Drosophila melanogaster: one gene and its partner. The protein of the gene in region 2 interacts with the protein of the main gene of each other region in a biochemical or structural test. Each region holds a gene or a part of one and is shown on either strand. Other genes may lie near its edges.

Evidence for each region.
Region 1: the proteins of Apc2 (region 2) and CtBP form a complex in vitro, tested with the Drosophila melanogaster proteins (one study listed by BioGRID).

What each region holds. Positions count from the first base shown.
Region 1 is NT_033777.3:13,009,977-13,014,824, reverse strand, and holds the start of CtBP (C-terminal binding protein), read right to left. Parts: upstream 3,177-4,848; 5' UTR 3,077-3,176; exon of another isoform or gene 2,653-3,076; intron 1-2,652. Other genes in the region: CG11656 (uncharacterized protein), read right to left, coding at 3,866-4,661, 4,741-4,820; CG8031 (uncharacterized protein), read left to right, coding at 3,645-3,693. UniProt on the Drosophila melanogaster protein: Corepressor targeting diverse transcription regulators. Hairy-interacting protein required for embryonic segmentation and hairy-mediated transcriptional repression.
Region 2 is NT_033777.3:24,162,410-24,169,064, reverse strand, and holds Apc2 (adenomatous polyposis coli 2), read right to left. Parts: upstream 5,100-6,655; 5' UTR 4,892-5,099; coding exon 4,256-4,891; intron 4,193-4,255; coding exon 1,979-4,192; intron 1,782-1,978; coding exon 1,428-1,781; 3' UTR 1,128-1,427; coding exon of another isoform or gene 921-1,127; 3' UTR 801-920; downstream 1-800. Other genes in the region: CG5510 (uncharacterized protein), read left to right, coding at 11-208, 262-591, 921-1,127; mRpS24 (mitochondrial ribosomal protein S24), read left to right, coding at 5,580-5,597, 5,658-5,847, 5,905-6,194; TBC1d7 (TBC1 domain family member 7), read right to left, coding at 6,239-6,325, 6,382-6,613.

The DNA of each region.
Region 1 (4,848 bases), about 11 Mb from region 2:
GTATTTCCCACTTGTTTTTTGGTTTTTGTTGTCTTGTTTCGTTTTTTGTTGTTGTTGTTGTTGTTTTTTTTTTTTATAATATTGATTGGTGGTGCGCGCGGTCTGCGAATGACGCAAATCGAAAAACTGCAAGCCAGCATAGCCGAGTGGCAAGTGACCAGAAGTGGGAAAAAATCAAATGAAATACAATTTATATATATATATATATGTATATATTATTGCCTCGCACGCTTACGAATTGCTGATTCTGCGTTTTGCGGCTGCTTGGCTATTTCTATTTATTATTGTTGCCATATCGCTGCATCTGTTGTTTTGGACGAATTTGGCTGAGCCATCTGAAAGTGTGTGTTTTCTGTTTTCATTTGAAAAGTGCTTGCGCAGGAGTATAGCAGATATGGCGAAAGGTTTGCCATCAAACATGCAACGATTAGCTGGCCAAAATACATCTTTCCACCGCTGAATAGATGAAAGACATCCGAATTTGTAAACTATCATTCATTTTCAACAAATTTATAACTTGGACAATTTAGCTTTAAGGGTATTAGAGCCTGTACCATCAACCGAATTGCGTTGTATTTGCCTTTCAGATCGATAGAGATAGAGCGCAGAAAAAAAATACAAGAATATGAGGCACACATGGCTGCCATTGTGTTTCTGGTCGAATTTTAGTTCCTCGGACTTTTGTGTTTAAATTTAAACGTTTGCCTGCTATTTTGGTGGCTGCTTTCGCTTTGTTTTGCGCCCCGTGCACCACCAAGTGTGAAATTCTTTGGGCAGGTGTGCATTTTTTCACGCGCGCAGTCGGCGGCAAACACACAACAACAAACATTGCGCAAAAACACAGAGCATCAAACGGATTGGGGGGGGGGGTCGTACGAGGCGTGGCAGTGGGCGGCATCGCCTGGCATTGACAATAAATAACCGTTAGCTAGTGGGAGTGGGCAGCCCATACACAATCAAATTTATTATTTGCCAAAAAAGGGCAGTGACAAGAAGCGGAAAACGTTGTTGCGCCAAAAAAACTAGTAACAACAAATTCAGCAACATGTACAGTTATCGATGGACTATATATATAGAAAATTCCATGGCAATGCAAATATTGAAGTGGAAACGGGAAAAGCGGCTCTCTCTGCCACATATTTCCATATTTCTATTTATTCTATAGCGAAAACTACATTGGGTAGGAAGAATTCTTAACGACTGCAATACAAATTCAGTGGCTAATAACTATAAATTTAAGTGTTTTTATAAAGCAAATTCCTCAGCATTTCATTTTTGCCCAATGACGAACAATTAGCCAAAAATTTCATAACCGCAATTAACTTTAACTTTAAGGCAATCAATAATTTCAATTGTGCCTGCTGCTTTTAAGGGTTTGTAATCAGTCTAGATACCCCAAAAGTGCGCAAAAAGTTGCGGGGAATACAACAAATGACTAAACAACTAACAGTCGCTATAATTTGAACTCTTTATGTGGCAGAAGTTTGTCTGTATTTCCGTTTTTGGGCAAAAACAAAAACACCATTTGTAATCCTCTTCGGAGTTTTGAGCACTGCGAGCAATACCAACAACATTCCCGTTGCAAGTGCGGCAGTATGTGGCTGGGAGGGGAGAGGTTTAGGGAGGGGGGAGCCCAGAGTTGCTTGTCTGTCTGCCTCTTCATGTGTGCGTGTGTGTGTGTGTATGACGTATACGTTTGTATGTGTGTGATGGGTACAGGCACGTCGAACAGTGAAAGGGCGAACGAACAAGAGAGAAGAGAGAGAGCGATAGAGATAGAAGAAGCTATGACAAAAACACGACAAGCGCAAAAATTGTAAGAAAACTAGAAACAAGCATCAATTTGAATGGACATTCGTAAGTTGATCAAACTTTTTCACTTGGTTGTGTATTCAAATCGGCATAAACACACACAAACAAACAATCGCAACGGTTGTTGAGTAAGTGTGTGCGCTTGTAATTTGCAATCAATATGCGGGCGCAGGAAATAAAAGCTATTTATACTTTTAAAGCTTTAGTTCGCGAAGAAGAAACGATAAGCAGCACTTTCACCCTTTAAAGGCTTTTAATCCGAGCGAAAGAACGAAAACTCCCGGTTGAAATGTGTCAACATGAGGCTTTAGTTGGTTTTCAAACTCGTTGCTTTTGGCCTCTCCCTCCCACCCTTTCTCTTGCACTCGCGCTAGCTCGCTCTTTCTCTCTCTGTCGCACCAAATGTGGCGGCGGCAAAACAACAACGATGAGACAGCATGTTGCAGTGGCGTGGGCAAAAGGGGGGTGCTTGAGAAAAGGGGGACGTTGCGCAGTGAACCTTGCGTGTGTATTGTCACTAGGCGGGCGGAAAAAAATATAAATTACAAAGAGAGTGTATGTATCTGTGGCTGTGTGCGTGTGCGGGGAAATTATTGCACAATTTTATTTATGTTTTGCATAGAATATGGCAGGCATTGCTCTCTCTCTCTCTCTCTCACTCACTCACACACGCACTCACTCGACTTTTGCATTAAACCGCAACAATACTTGGTCATGTGTGTGTGCGTACCCACACACGCACACCCGCATCACCTATACAGGCAATAGCAGTTCCGCTTTAAAATTCATCAGAATTCTGCACGTTTAAATTTTTCTTGTACACGTTTATCGCACACTCACACACACGCACGCACACAGGCACAGGCGCACACTCGTTGCAAACGGAAAGGCAAATGGGAAATATATGGTGTAGTAATCCGTGGAAAAATCGCCGCTGCCGCGGATTTTCGATTGTGGTATTATTAAATAGCTGAAACGCAATCAGCGGCGCACAATTTGATTTTCAGCTCTCGTTTTCGCCTTTTTTTCTCTCGCTTATTCGCCTATTCCTTTGTGGCGGCGGCGACGGCGGCGTCGGTTTTCTTCTCTCTTTTCTTTTTCTTTTTTTGCGAGTTCACAATTGGGCAAGAAATTCACGTGCCAAAAACGCGGCCACACACAATTTTCGGGGACAAACACTTGGCGGCGGGTCTCATGCACCGTTGCCGACCACTTTTCACAAATTTTATGCACTTTTTGGGCAGTTTTCCCACAATTAATTTACCAGCAACGCGTCCAAATTCCACTCGCAGCTTTCAAAATGGCGGAATACGAACACGGCGGATTTTTAGGTTTTAGTACAGCAATGACGCTATGCGAACAGTGTGACCGCACACGGGTCGTTCGAAAATACCTCGGTGCGCGCAGGCAAACTGCAAGAATTATGGTATAGTTTGAAATGTTGGTATTGCAGAATTCCGACTTTCGACTTCCGTGAGTTTCAGTTGTATATGTTATGCGATTTCATTTATGGAAATTAATAAAAAACAACACTTAAATAAAATTACGTTACCTTATGTATTGTATTTTATTTGTGTGATTTATTATTTAGAATAATAAAAAAGTATTAATGGTATATATGATTATACCAAAAAAAAAACGATATTTAAGTACTTAATGCAGCCCTGAAGAAGTGTGACCGCTGATCAGCGAATCCAGAGAACGTGTTTATTTCAAAAACAAGACGACGGTCACACTGCTGTACCAATAACAAAGAACTCGTTTTTTCTACAAGTAACGGCCAGTTAATAGCTCTTACTAACTAAACAGACCGATTAGGGATCTCGCACAAAATGTCGGCCAGAAGAGCAACCCATGCAGGCAGCTGGTACACGGACTCGGGTGAGTAACAACCCAGCTGCGGCCCAGAAGATAACACAATCAATTATTGCATCGCCTATGGGTGTGGGATAAACGCATATGTATTGCACCTGTGCGTGTTTGCCTGTGTGTGTGTTTGTGTGCGGGTAATGAACCTTAGGGTGAACCAAAAATGTAACTACAGGTCACCAATTCAGAAGTTCTTTTCCGGATCCGAGCCAACCGCATTGCGAATCTCGTCCATGCGATCGTATGCGATTTCGGTGGCCCAGCACAGACGCTTCTCCAGCTCGCTGTTGCGCCGCCGCTGCTGACGCAGTGCATCCAGTCCGCGTTCCAACTGAGTGCATGCCTGGAAGAAGGTGCTCAGCTCGGGTATGTCGCCGAATTCGCCGGGATGCCGACGGAATCCCTGCGTGGCGTCCGTGGATAGCTTGTCCAGGCGATTTTGCAGGAAACGCTGGTCGAACATCATCTGAAGCTCTGCAGTCGTCGCTTTGCCCAACTCGTTGTTGGATTCGTTTAGGTGCAGGTCCCGTATGCGGTCCTTCAAGCCCGTGAAGCTAACCGACTCCAATTTCTCGCCAATGCCCTGGAAGAGTTCGTAGCTCTGCTTGAGCTCCAGCTGCATCTTCCGGACATCTTCGTCGATGCTTTTGGCCGCTTGCGATTCAAGGAAGTCGGCACGGGCACTGGCCTCCACGGGCGGAGCGTCATATCCTGATCTTAGCGAATAGCTCGAGGATGTGGAGACCGGATCCGATGGCTTCTCCTGGGCTCCACCTCCAGTTAAACGATCTTCAGATGATCTGGTACCCGACGACGAACTCTTTGTACTGCCAGCGGACGAGGAGGAGGCCTTACTATTGTTCTTCTTGGAACTCCTCGATTTTGCTTTCCTTGTTTTCCTTATGGGCCCGAAAATGGGCAGCGGATTGGGACTCAGGAGCAGTTCCTGTGACGCCTCCTTGTCGGAATCATCAGCAGCCCTGTTGTAGGATTATAAATGGATTGATTTTTTTCTTCTTTTATATATATATATATATATTGGGTAACTTGATAACTTACTCTTGAGATAATATAGCTGTAAGCTCGTTCCGAATGCGATTCATGAGCTCATCGCTTTGTTTTTCCTTATCAGTTTCCATCGCGGAATGTTCAACTAAAATTTAAATC
Region 2 (6,655 bases):
TAATCCAAAGCCCGTGATGACTCGCAATTGGGAAGTGCACGTTGGCTTTAAGGTGCACGGCAAGGGAACTGAACTGTTCGGCGACGGATTTGCCATTTGGTACACAAAGGAGCGCATGCAAACCGGGCCGGTCTTTGGCAGCAAGGATCACTTCTCCGGACTGGCCATCATTCTGGACACCTATAGCAATCACAATGGTCCACACAACGTATGTCATTACGCAAGGCATTGAATGTAAATGTATTAACATTATATTTGTAGCACCAACATCCATATCTCAGCGCCATGGTGAACAATGGCAGCTGGAGCTACGACCACGATCGCGATGGAACGCACACTCAGCTGGCCGGCTGCGAAGTTCGTTTCCGCAATGTGGAGTACGAGACGCTGGTTAGCATTCGATACGAAAACGACATTCTGTCGGTTTCCACAGATCTGGAGAACCGCAACGAATGGAAGAACTGCTTTGTAGTGGCCAACGTTGAGCTACCCACGGGCTACCACTTCGGCATGTCTGCGACGACGGGTGATCTGTCCGACAATCACGATATTCACAGTTTCAAGTTCTATGACCTGGACTTGAACGTAAATGTAAGTTCACTTTTGTTTGCCAAACTTCGGAAGCGAAGTAAGCATTACTCAGCTGTCTGCTATTTGGCTAACGCGATAAGGAGTGCAAGGAACCCAAAAGCGGACTTAAGTTTCAATAACTGCGTATACGTATAAAGAAAAAAGAGTGAACTTGTTTTTAATTGCTGCAACTTGTAATAATTAAGCAGCTGGCTTTAAACACATTGTTTGATGCCTAATCATGTTTATCTTTATAAGCCGTGTGTTATAATATTTATATCATATTACTGAAAACCAGTTTTACTTTCTTGTTGCAATAACCATCTTTTTACTTTCTTTCTTGTTCGCAGCACGATGAGATTATCCGGCGCTCCAATATCATACCGAATGCCAAGACATTCGAGCCCCCGCGCGAGCACAAAGAAGATCCCAAGCCGGGAATGTCCAACGCCAAGATCTTCTTCATCCTTCTCTTCGTGGTTGTCGTGGCGGCTGCAGTGGCCATCTTCGCCATCTCCTACTTCAAGGATCGCAACGCGCGAAAACGTTTCTACTGAGCTCTCTAGCTAGTTCATCACAGTAGCATCATGTTAGGAGTTACCCGGACCTCAGTTGATCGCAACTTTTATTTATATTTATACCGCGACTGTATCCCATTTCTTATCACCCTTTTTAGTTTCCTTAATTGTTTAGTGAGAGGGTAAACATAATATTACACGTGTTGGAGAGTTAAATTTAAGTGCAAATTTTTAATCTGAACTATAGGAAAATTGAGACCGTGAGAATATTATTGCGTAGACAAGATTAAAAGCCACTAAACAAATGCATGCGCTTCTCAATTAACCAACCATCCGCTTCTAGTGCTGACGCCCAGCCAACATGGACTCAATCTGGCGCACCTGGTTACTGACAAATCGATCCCGGGCACTGATCTCCTGGCGCTGCCCCGGCGGCTCACCCTCCGACTCCAAGGCGTCGTTGGACTTATGCATGCCGCTCAGAATGCACTGCTCAAATAGCGACTTGGACCGTGCATCATCGTCGTCGTCGTCTAGCGAGTCATCTGAGCTGTAGTTCGGCTTATCGCCATGCTCCACCTGCTTCTTTGACTGCCCATTTTCCCTGCATAGAGTGCTGGTACTAGCGTTCGCCAGGCTGGAGCTGGTACTGGCACCGCTGGGCTGAGGTCGACAACTTCCCGCAGCAATGGCCTATAAAAAGAGGGAACAACTTTAATATTTCTGATTTTAGCGAGAATTTTCTGACTGCATTTTAAATTTAACTTTTGTGAAATATCAACATTCCGATTGCTAAATCTACAAAGACACTTATTTTTGAGTGAGTCTCTCACAAAATGTTTATATGGTGAAATATATCAAGTGTTTTGAATGAAGTATCCTTTTCTCACCTGACTTAGAAGATTACAGTCGTCATCCGAGTCCATGGACAATGAGCTCAGTGAGTCGCTTTTCTTCGGCGGTAAGCGTGGCTCCGCATCTCCTTGAACGGCACTACGTCTGGGAGGAAGTTTGGGTGCCTGAGCCTCTTCTGCAGTCCTCATTGGCAGCTTCAGAACAGGCCCAGCCTTAGCAGAGCCAACAGTGAGATGGGATAGTCCCGAGATGACCGAAAACGTGCAGGGACTGTCCTCGACATAGTACTTGCTCATTTCATCCGACACTGGCAGATAACTGGGCAATGCATTGCCACCGCAGCGCATCTTAGAGATTGCATCTTCTGCCGGCATCCGAGTGTCCATTCCGGTAACATCAGCTCGCGGAGCAGGCACTGGCTGCGCTTCATTCGCATTTAGATCATTCGGGATGGACAAAATGGACAGATCACTATTGCTTGGCGCTTTGGAAAGCACGGCAGTAGTGTCCTCTGTGCAATAGCTGCGAGGAGCATCCCCATTGCCGTTGATGTCATTTCCACGCTGTCCTCGAATAGCGTTTGCATTAGAGTCGTCCATCATGCTCAGATTACTTAGACTGGTGGCGCAGGAGAAGGCAGCAGGCGTGTGCTCCACGTGGAATCTGTTCAACTTGTCCTCAAACACAGTACTGGGCTTCTGTTCAGGTGTGTCCAAGTTATTTTGAGTGGACACTTTTCTGTCCCTTCTCGGAGATTGAGGCATACTCTGGGTGGGTGAATCGGGCAGCTCTGAGGGGGAAATAACACCACTCTGCATCCGGCTGTATTCACTGATCACGGATCCATTGTCCTCGCAGGCAACCGTTTCGTCGTCGCCAACCAATGAGTCCATAGAGCTGCGACGCGAAAACATTAATGGAGTTTCTAGTGCGGAATCGATGTTTTGAGGCGTATTTCCGTCAACGTGCACCGGGAGAACCGCAGTTTTCGTTGGAGTTTTTGGCGGCATACATTTCTCCGGTTTCTCTGTGAGGCTGTTGAGCGAGTCGAAGCGACTGAAGCTGCCGGGAGTCCCTTCTTCACAGTAGTTTATTGGTCGCTCTGCCGTTTCCGTCTCCGTTTCGGTGGCAATTTTCTGCTTAGCTGCTGAAACCGCCACCAGGCCAGGACTATTGCGCAGCTCCGTGGCCGAGGAGGACTTTGTCAGTTGCAACTCCTTACTTCTAATCTCATTGGTCTCCGACTTCAGCTCCGGCTGTGCCGTCTGAGCGGATCGTCTCTCCTTATATCTAGCACTGAAATCCGTTGGCTGATCCAAGTCGATCTCAAAGGTCTTACTGCTATTGGGTTTGTGCTCCATGTACTTCATGGAGTAGTCAATGGGCTGCTCTTCAGTGGGTGTCACAATTTCGAAGGGATTCTTCGCTCCCTCCGACTTGGTTGAGTATTTAGTGGAATCGGATTTGCCCGAGTAAATGGACTCTCGGCTCTCACATTTTCTGTTCAGAAAGCCAGTTGTGCTGACTGTTGAGGGTCGCACTTTCTTAAGCGATCCCGTGGGATTTGAGCTTAGGCGCAGTGAGCTGAATCTCCGTGGCAGCGTACCTCCATGGCCAGCTTCCTTGTCTAGTGGCAGTGACCCACCATCTCCATTGGGCATAAGCTCCTGAGTGGCCCTGAAATTAACTAGGTTTTTCAAAGCCGAGGCACTGCCCTCCGCAATCATGGAGTTCTTGGAGCTGATTAGGGCCCGCAAGAGCGGGATGGCATTGTGGTCAATGAGGTATTGCTGGTCCTCGGGACAGCGCGCCGAGAGATTCCACAGAGTTCCGCAGGAGTTGCTTACCACGGTTAGGCTCTCCGATTTCAACTGTTGCAACAGAATGGCAAGGCAATTGTACCGTCTTAGGATTTGTCGGTACGGCTCACACACCGCAATATGGCTCGATACATTTCGAAGAATGCCGCCTGCATTTTCGATGATCTTAAGAGTTTTACTCGGACCCTCGTAGCTAAGCATTCCGACCAAAAATGCCAGTGCTCCGTCTACTGCACAAAACTCCGCCTTGTTGGTGCTGCAGTGCGCTGAGAGATTCCAAAGGGCTGAAAGTATGGCCTTGAGAGTGTTCTCGTTCTTGTTTTGCATGGCTGCTCGAGCCAAGGAGGTCACAGTACCCAGCTCGTTAAAGATAGTCTTCATGTGTTTGTCCGCGCGCCACGAAAGATTGCGAAGCACACCAGCAAGAACCTGATGAGATCAACGGTAATTAAATTACGATCTTTTTTTCTTAATCTCCAAGATTAAACTCACCTGTAGCAGTTCATCCGGAGCCGTGTTCAATTGAGCAATGACCACTTCCATGAACTGTCGCTGACCGCACAGATACGATTTGTTATGGACGTTCTCGTCTCCGAAGGTGAGATTCGTGAGGGCCATGAGGCCGTAGCTCCTGAGGGCGTTGCACTGTTCCCTACCGGCAGCCGGTCCATGGACCGCATGATCAAGGTGGACCAAATTGGGAATCGCCTTGAGGGCTCCCAGTTCGCACATAGTCTGGCGGTGCTCCTCGTCGAAACTGGCTTTCATCAGGAGCTTCATAGCCGCCAGCGGATGACGATCTTCATCATCTGCGATAGCCTCACCGCCGCTCTGCAACTGGGTGTGCAGAAAGTTACAGTAGTCGAGGATCTGGTCCAGCAGGCGCAGCATCTTCACCTCCCGCTGGCGCTCCTTCTCCTCCGGATTATTGTGGACGATGTTGTGCAGCGCCTGGCTGGCGTACTTTTTCGCCGTGGAGAGGCCTTCGTCGTTGGCGTGCAGAATCTGCACCAGAAGCTGGATACAGTCCGAGCTGCGCAGGGCGGTGCATGTTTCCGGATTTCGAGACAGTTCCAGGAAGTTGCGCGTCAGCTCCAGGCGAGTAGCGTCGCTCTCGTTCAGCGTCATTACTTTGAATGTATCCTCACCTATTAGTGCATTCGGATACCAGGGATTCTGGGAATAAACCTTTGCAGCTTTGCTTCTGGATGAGTCCTGTTGCACGGTCGCTTCAACAGGTAGTTCCTTCTGATCTGAGATCCTCGATCTTTGTTTGAGATGGCCTGCGTTTAAGCCATTTTCCAAGCGCGCAGGCTCAGCGCTCCAGTGCTACCGATTAAGCTAATTTATAGCTAGTTCTGCCCAAGTTCAATGATCAGTCAAAGTTCTTTCGAATAAAGGGATTAATACAAAGTTAACTCTATTTATTAAGGAAGCTCTCAAAATGTTGTTTATTTATATATTTTAAATAAGCGTGCAATAATTTTATTACATTACATTATTACATTTTCCCACCGACAACTGTTGACAACTCTGCCCCGCTTTAAAACAAAATAAAAATCGATTTTAATCAATGCAATAGAGATCCAAGTATTGCATTTAAGAACTAAAAAGGGCATTTACACAACTAAAAATTAATCTTTCTGTGTTTTTATTTAACTACTTCCTTCAATGTTGTTTTTTATTTTATAGAAAATATTTTCACTACACAATAATAATATCGAATACTTATCTATAAATTTGTCCATCTCTAGCGAACCGTTACGTCACGTCAATCAGCTGTTGCTGGACGCAAAATTGTTTCTGCCGCAAAATAATGAACTTCTTGAAAAAGGTGTGTTAAATAACAACAAACAGGACAAATTATATATTAAAATAACCTAATCTATTGCAGCTGTTGCCCCAGGTGGCGACCGAGGTGCAGCAGCTCAGCCGGTCAGGATTCCACACCAGCTCCGTGTGCTGTCGCGTGCAATCCGGGCGATACCGCATAACCACAAAGCGAAACAGGCCTCTTACCTACGAGATGGCCAATCCGCCGCATTTTATTGGCCACCGCAAATCGTGGAACTCATGGAACACGTGTAAGTTGTGAGAAAATTTTATTAAGGAAGCATTTTGATGGCCACCTTCTATCTTAGCAACAATGAAGGATGCCCTGCGTCCGTCCCAGACCGCCATAGAGGATGTGTTCATCCGCAAGTTTGTCACCGGCACATGGCATGCCCTCGTCTGCTCCGAGGTCATTATCAAGCGACAGCACAACACCATTAGGATCGCGGCCCTTATTCGGCAGGCGATTACACCGCGAAAAATGTACTTCCTTATTGGTTACACGGAGGAGCTGCTCTCCTATTGGATGCAGTGTCCAGTGACCTTGGAACTGCAAACGGTGGGCGATAAAAAGGACGTGGTCTTCAAATACATTTAGTTCATTCTGCTATATACATGTCCAATATAAAAGTGTAGATTTACTTAGTGCGTGTACTCGACTTCGCTGCTGTTGTTTTGTAGTGATTTGATGGCCTTGTTTACGATAATAACACCGTCAAGATCCTTTACCTAAGGCAAATTTTGGATAAGTTATGGCTTAGCAAATGGTTTCCTTATTTACTTACCGTTTCTATAAGTCTTTTGACGTCTGCTAAAGATGTTTGCTTTAGTATCGAGGACCTTATGTCCTTAACTAGTTCTACAAACAGGAAAACAACAATCTTCCGGGACCCTCCACAGACTTTGTCCCATATCTTGACCAAATGAGTTGTACAGATTATTCCAGCAAAGCAGGTTATATACCAGTTATCCAGTAGCGTTGAGTTGCCATCAAACAGGCCCAGAAGCTCCAGGTGACTATAAGGAGTAATCGAAGAAAATTGGTCAAATAACCCGACT